2 linked regions of the Lonchura striata genome follow. The protein of the gene in region 2 purifies or fractionates together with the protein of the main gene of each other region. This does not show direct contact. Links are inferred from orthologs where the notes say so. Each region holds a gene or a part of one and is shown on either strand. Other genes may lie near its edges.

Region 1 (3,745 bases), on a different chromosome or scaffold from region 2:
GTTCAGTGAAATGGAAGCTTACCATGTAGGTAATGAGAGGCATTAAAGGGTGTTTACATGAGGGAGGGCATTTTTCTTCTTCAAACTTACCTTTATTGCCTATGCAACTTTCAGGCTCAGCCTGATGCTGCAAATATTTAGGTATGTGCATAAGTCAAGGCACAAGTGGTACATGTCTTTTAAATATTAATCCAAATCCAAACATTAAAATAATTCAAACACATCCAATGCCAGCATCATCTCGTTCTTACTGTAGGTCCCTACTTTAAGTTTAAGTCTATTTGGAGACTGTCAGACACTCCACCCCAGCAAGGACTGGGTTTCAGGAAAAAGCTGTATGCACACAGCAAGACGGGTAGAATGGAGGCAAACCAGAACGGTGCTGTTGGGCCCAAGTATTTATGAGAAGTAGAGTACAGATATTGCTTGCCTGTATCTATGCAAGAGAATGGCCTTTTAGTGCTTCTACAAACTCCTCTTTCCAACATCCATGGACCAGCAGTGTACAAATAGATTTAGAAGGGGTGGCTCTGCAGAGAGATCGCGTCTACAGGGACCTGCAAAGCTGGGTGAAATTTCAAGATCTATAGTTGTCCTGCTGGGGAGTGTATTGCCCTCAGTTTCCATATCATGGAGAATACTACCACTGACCTTGTCGGGAAGGTACAGACAGAGGAAGCTCCAAGAATCGGCCACCGTGCCTGTCATCTCCTCTCCATCCTTGCAAAAGAACAGGCAAGGCCTGGGCAACTCTGGCAGCACCTTTAAATCCATATTGATTGTAACTATTGTAAACTCAAATCGCACGCTGTAAGGTGCGCGTCCTGTCTTCAGCAATTCCATGTTCCTTTTTAAAAAACTGGACTTGCGGGAGAATAAAGGGCTACAGCGGCAACACCGCCGACCCCACTTCGTCCTGCCTCGATTACGATGGGCGAAAACAAGTTAGAAGTCTACTGAGGGCTGAAGCCCCTCATGTGAAGAGGGCGGGGGGGCAAATCCCAAGAGACTGTAGGGGGACGCTGCACCGAGAGCCCGAGGGCTGCGGGCAGAGGGATGAGGTAACTTTGGCGCGGCCCCGCCCTTCCCACCGCCCTCAGGAGCGCGCTCACGTGATCGCGCCCACGTGATCGCGCCCTCGGCCCCCGCACCTGCCGGCGCGGTGAGGGGCGGTGGGGGGCGTGGCCATGCGGTGACCCCTCCCAGCGCCCCCGCTCCTCCGGCCCCCCGGCCCCGCCACGCCCCGCCGCGCCGCGCACGCGCGCAGAGCGGGACGGGCCGATTCACGCTCCCAAAATGGCGGCCGCAATGGATGTGGACACTCCCAGCGGAACCAACAGCGGCGCCGGCAAGAAGCGCTTCGAAGTGAAGAAAGTGAGGCCCCGCCGGCGCGCTCCTCTGGCTGCTCCCGGAGGAACGGGGGTGGGGCTGGGGCCGGCTTGATGCCAGAGAGCGGGACGGAGAAGGGAGCGAATTCCCGCTCCCTTTACGGAGCCGGGCGCCTGGTTCCGCACCGGAGCGGTGGGAGGGGCGGCGCGAGGCCTGCGGGGAGTCCTGGCGTGCGTCCTAGCCAATGGCTGAGGCGGGCCGCCGCACGTGCAGCGGGAGCTGGCCAATCAGCGGGCGCCGCTGGTGGGGGCGGGAGCAGGGGCGCCGACGGGCCGGGGGCGGCCCTGTCCGGGGCTCTGCCGCTCGCCTCCTCTGACGCTGCCGCCCCGACAGGACAGGCCTCGGCTACTCCTTACCCAGAGCTCGGGCGGGCGAGCAGCGCTGGAGTGCTTCCAGCTCCCCATCACCCCCGGCCGCTGTGGCGTGGCCCAGCCGCCCGGGCTGCCCCATATGCTGCGTAAAAAGCTTTCTGCAAATGTCTGTGGCTGACTTTTTCCTCCTTCTTACATAAATCGAGCCATAACAACGTATTAGTGAGCAAATGTTCTCATGCCACCCTGGCTTTGCTTCCTCGCTCAGAGCAGTCATAATATTGCTCTCCTATCCAGTGCCACCAGTTTGTCAGCTGGGTCATGGTGATGGTCTGAGGCTATTCACGTGGGTGTAGAGAAGCAGGATTAGATTGTGTGGGCTTGTACTAAGGTACAATTTGAGGAAAAGTGTCTCCTAGACTGAATATCAGTAAACATTTCCAGTGATTCCTGCTTGTAGATATATTTGTTTAAAATGCAGCTGCCATCAGTGATGATGGAAACCCCTGGATATGTGCAGAAGGAAGTGTTTGGGTGACATAATTGCTTGTCCTTTGGAAATAGGGACAAATATAATCAGAGTGGTAGGAAGTAGCAGCATTTATATGTCAGTGTCATTCCTGCTCCCCAGCAAGGTATCAAGACCTTTGTTGCATGTGTGGCTCAGTACAGGTGTGTGGGCCATCAGAGTAGACCATAATGGGACAAGAGATTAAGTATTGGAGTGTATGGAAGAGATAAGGGTGCTGAGAACTTTTATCTTAGCTGCTTGAAGTATGGATGAAGTCCATGAGGACTGAATACTTCAGCCAGAAGGCCAGCTAGTCTTGAAGTTAGAAGACTGGGAAGAAACATGTGATCACTACTGGTGCATGTCCTAAAAGATCTAGTAGTATTGTGACTACTTTTTATATCTGTACTAATGAAAAGTTGAAGAGCTTACCCAAGTGTGAAACTGCCTATCAATACTTGGAACTCAGTGTTCCTTCTTTAATGTCCCAAACTGAGGGAAAGCAATGAAAACATTGAGATGGAAATGGAACACAGTAGAGAAGATAGTACAGTCAGTGCAAATATATACTGAAAAAATGTAAGGGGGACAAAAATCTATACTACGTAAGTCGTAAATGAAGATTATCCTGATACCAGTACAATATTTTGGATTGTTTTGGATATTGAAGGCAGGCCCATTTATTTAATGAGTTTACAGAAGACCTGATTATGAGTTTTGTCTGGAGGCATAAAAAGGTTTTTCTGCATAGCTTGTCCTAAAATTCTCAAACCCCCTGAAGTAGCATGTGACAGTGCTATTACTTTTTTGTATGTATAAAGTAAGTCTTCGAAAGATTGATTTGATAGTACTTTGAAATTTTTATATCCAGCCTTGCCGATAGGTTGTTGCTTATTAACCTTTTGTAGGGAACATTATTCAGGAGTCAGTGGAGAGTAGCATTAGAGATTTAGTTCTTGACCCCAACTGCTCAGAAGGATGATTACTAGAAGAACTGCCACAAATAATAGGAATTCCTCTTAACAAAAATTACATCTGAATTGGTCTTTCTCCAAGGGGCTGTCCTTTCTTTCAGAATCTAGGGTTTGACATGAACTACTTCCTTGGATTCCATTGGATCTTGAATAGAAATCCAGATGTTTGCATTTGTTTCACAGAAAAAAAAAAGTGGAAGGGGGACTGTGGGAGTTACCTTCTTTTTCAGGTGGGAAGGAGACGTATCTGGGAGGTTTGTGAGAGGAATGTACCACTGCTTCCTAGTAACCTAAACTCTTGATGAGGAATTGTTCTGGACTTCTAAGATTTGTTTTTTCCTTAATATCCTAGCTTTTCTATTTCAAAAAGTACCTGGTATCTTGAAGAATAGCAAGGATTGCTGTCCAGCGTAAATTGAATCACAACTGTTTTTCTTTTTCCCCCCTCTCTCCAGTGGAACGCCGTAGCTCTGTGGGCATGGGACATTGTGGTTGATAACTGTGCCATTTGCAGAAACCACATTATGGATCTGTGTAAGTACATGGGGAGGGTCACATTT
Region 2 (3,745 bases):
GGTTAAAATCCTTCCTAGCACCAGAATCTCCAGTTTGGTCCTTGTGCCCTCAAGGACATCCATCAAAACATCAAGCCCTTGTATTCCTCCCTCCCCAGCTGTTGTGCACATACTGGTCTGCCTCAAAAAGAAGTGACACTCAGAAGCAAAACCATTATCATGGCATTTAAACATGTTAAAGAAATCTCTGACACCAATGGATCCCCTTCAAAACAGATGGATAAAAAGATGTTCCTCATATTTTTAAAGCAGATTTATTGTTGCTGTTTCAAACTTTGTTACTGAAATTCACTTGTTTTTCAATACACTGGTTTGCACAAGAAGTGACCAAGCCAACTTAGACTTAGAAACAGGATTATTTTCTAGAACCCCTGACCCCACACGTTCATTCACATGGGAGCACCAGAAAGTGGTTTTAAGGAATGTGTTACATTCCAATCTGGAATATTAATGCCTGTGAAGACAACTTTGGTATATGCAATAGGCCCTGCTCTGGTTAAAGAGACAGCAGTGATCAGCTGTAGCTTAGATCTCAAATCACATGTTTTTTCATTTCCAAAGCAAATATTTCCCCTCTTTGTACAACTCAGATCCCCCAATTACACTGAGGACTGATTAGAACAGTTAATCTTCCTTCAAACGTCCTCTTCTAAAAGGCCAGACAAATTTGATGTTTGACACTTACCTTTCAAACATCCTCAGATGGTTTGGAGATGGCCACAGGTCTTGGAAACTTGCATGTGCCCAAACACTGGAATGATTATCCACAAGGTATTTAAGATGTGAGTGCACCTGCAGGGAGGGAACACAAAATAATGATTAACAAAATAAAAGGAACAACAGAAAAACAGGTCTTTGCAATCTTATTTTAGAGAAGTAACTAATTCGTCACAAGTTATGTTTAACTTGTTGCCTGCCTCATAACCAGTAAGGCAAGAGATGCCAAACCAAACCCATTTGTTCAGCCACAGTAATCTGGCAGGACAATTACCACAGAAAAGGAACAAAAAGCAGTCAAATACTGCTGCTACTCTTAACTTGAGCAGTGAGAAATGAAAGTCCCTGGGACAGCAAAAATCTCAACCTTGCAGGCACTCTTTGGGTTTCTTCAGGCTCTGTGACATGAGAAGCCTGTTCTGTGTGCAGTCCAGGCTCCTGGAGGCAGAGCTGAGCACTGAGCCTGGCAGAGGGGAAGCTGCAGCACTTACAGCTCTGACTGAGAGGATGTCTGCAGCAGGGAGGCCCTTCAGGATGTGAAACAGAACATCCTCGGGGAGGTTCAAGAATGTCAGGACTCGAGGCCGTTTTATTACCCTTCTCTTTGAAGGGAAAGAAAAACATCTGGAACATCTACAGTGAACCACTGGAAAAGAGAAACACAGGACACCTCAGTTAGTGAGAGCATAAAGGCAAAAAGGTACTACATAGTATTACATATATACACAGGTGTTCACTTGAGCACCTCTTCACTGCAGTGCAGGACACTGCAAACACATTAACCAGGGATATATACCTCATACCTCATTATGCCACAGAGCAGAAAGGGCTTGTTCAAATTGGTTAATGAAGCCAAGAGACTCAGAAGGGGTGGCTCAAGCTCAAGTGCTCTTCACCAAGAGCCCCTCTGAGCCCTGACTCCTGTGACCGTGTTTAGTAGCAGCAAACAGTTCAGCTGTCCCTGTTCAGTAGTAACAAATAGTTTAGCTGACACTACTGTCAATGCATTTACCTCCCCCATGCCCCAACTTTTCCTTCTCAACTGACAGCAGTCTCTGGAACACAACCAGAGATATTAGGAAGACAACCAAACCTACTCAAGCCTATCTTTCCAAGCAGTTGCTACCAGGGGTGCTAATGGAAGACCCATTGCCTATATCTTCTGGAATATTATTTCAGTGCAATATTTATAGAAATACACACAAACACACATATATATGTATACAAAATGTACTATCCTCAGCAGTATTATTGCCATGAAAATGAAATAGACACCCAAACTGGGATGCCAGTTCAGCCTATATGAGCATCCAAATAGGGACCAGGGTGTAGATGAGCAACTCAGTGAAAACTCCATTTCTATAGACAGTATGTGGCACAGGTTGATTTCAAATATGTTGCTTCACGAAACCAGAGCGGTTTAGGCTGCAAGAGAGAACTCTGGGTGTCACCCAGTTCAGCTGTCCCGCCAAGTGGGGCAGGACCACATCCAGGTAGGTTTGAGCAACTCCAAGGATGTGGATCCCACAATTGCTCTGGCCAATCAATTACCATAGTTCAGGCATTCTTACAGTAAAAAAACACTTTCTCTGCCTCTTGAATGGGGCTTCCTGCACAGTCCTGCGCACGCTGCAAACTCACAGACGCCCGAGATGTTATCCCACGCGCAATACACATCTTGACCCCTTGGCTTTGAGGGCAGGCGCGCTTAGGCACAGCCGCCAGGCACAGCCACGGACGCCGTGGTCGCGGAAGGGCTGAGGCACGGCCCCGGCGGGGAGCACCGCACGGGCAGAGCCGGTCCCGAGCACCCACCGGGCCGGGCCGGGCCGGGCCGGACCGGGCCGGGCCGCCCCCGCCGCGTTTGAATTTGGGCGCGAAGCCGTTGGCCCGGCTCCAAAGCCCACTGCCGGTCCTTTAGCCCAGGCTCGGAGTATTCCGGTAACCCCCGCCCTCAGATCCCTCAGGAGGCGCCCGGCAGGCAGAACCCGCTCTGGAGCCGCCCCTCAGCGCAGGAAGGCCCGGGAAACAGCAGCACCCGCGGAGGCCGCGGGCAGAGCCGCACTCACCGCCCGCCTTCATCGTGGCGTGTCCGCGGGGACCGCGCGGACGGACACAGCGCCCTGCCCGGCTCGGAGAGAGCGGCCCGGGCGTAGGAGGGACCGGAGAGCCGCGGGCGGGCGGGGCCCGCGGGGCTGGCACGCCCCGCTCGCGGCGCGGGCGCGCCCAGTGGGCGCCGGGAGCGGCGGGAGCCCCGCCCGCCAGGCCCGCCCGCCGCGCCACCACCCCGCCCACCGCCCGCGCGCACTTGTTTTAAACACAGCAGCCTCTCTCATTGGCCAGGAGGCCGATGGGGGCGGGGCCGTTCCCGCCCCGCGCGCTGTGATTGGTCGGCGAGGATGCGAATTCGAATCGGGGCAGTTGGCGGTTCAAACCTGTGGCGCAGCAGCGCATGCGCGGGCGGCACGGCGCCCCCTGTCGTGCGGGGCGGTGCAGTGGGGCGGGGCCGCGGCGCTTCCCTCACGGGGCTGCCGCTGCGCTCCCGCAGTCTCGTTACGCCGGGCCGGCGGCGGCTGTGGGGCACGGCGGCGGCCCCGGCTCCCCCCGGGGACCAGGAGTCTCTTCTCTCTCAGCCGTCCCTGCTGGTGCTTTGTCGCTCACAGTCACCTACACTTAGCCGAGGCTGCCTCGCCAAGGGAGCTGTTGAGGGGAGCAGTGGGGGCTTATTACTGCCTAATGATTTCCACCTTGAACATGCAGCGCCTGAGGGTGTCCGTGCTGGAGCTAAAGCATCGCGGAGGTGGTTGCGTGTCCCAGGCCGGCCTGGGGTAACCTGCCGGACAGCAGCTCTGCAGAGAAGGCTCTGGGGGTCACAACTGTCCCTGACCAGCCTTGTGTCCTGGGGCCAAGGTGGGGGATCCCGGGCTGGGAAGGGCACTGCCAGCAGGTCCGGGATGGGGTCCTGCCCACCTCTTCAGCCCTGCTGAGGCTCATCTGGAATGCTGTGTCCAGTTCTGGGCTCCTCAGG

What was found. Proteins that work in one complex are often made in the same cells at the same time.
Region 1: the proteins of CCNF (region 2) and RBX1 purify together in Homo sapiens (affinity purification with western blotting, with the first as the bait; 4 studies listed by BioGRID). This does not show direct contact. The link is inferred for Lonchura striata from reciprocal best matches to the Homo sapiens genes CCNF and RBX1.

The regions. Positions count from the first base shown.
Region 1 is NC_134607.1:24,899,738-24,903,482, forward strand, and holds the start of RBX1 (E3 ubiquitin-protein ligase RBX1), read left to right. Parts: upstream 1-1,240; 5' UTR 1,241-1,296; coding exon 1,297-1,374; intron 1,375-3,640; coding exon 3,641-3,719; intron 3,720-3,745. UniProt on the Homo sapiens protein: E3 ubiquitin ligase component of multiple cullin-RING-based E3 ubiquitin-protein ligase (CRLs) complexes which mediate the ubiquitination and subsequent proteasomal degradation of target proteins, including proteins involved in cell cycle progression, signal transduction, transcription and transcription-coupled nucleotide excision repair.
Region 2 is NC_134618.1:2,548,706-2,552,450, reverse strand, and holds the start of CCNF (cyclin-F), read right to left. Parts: upstream 2,853-3,745; 5' UTR 2,800-2,852; coding exon 2,787-2,799; intron 1,364-2,786; coding exon 1,209-1,363; intron 793-1,208; coding exon 686-792; intron 1-685. UniProt on the Homo sapiens protein: Substrate recognition component of a SCF (SKP1-CUL1-F-box protein) E3 ubiquitin-protein ligase complex which mediates the ubiquitination and subsequent proteasomal degradation of target proteins.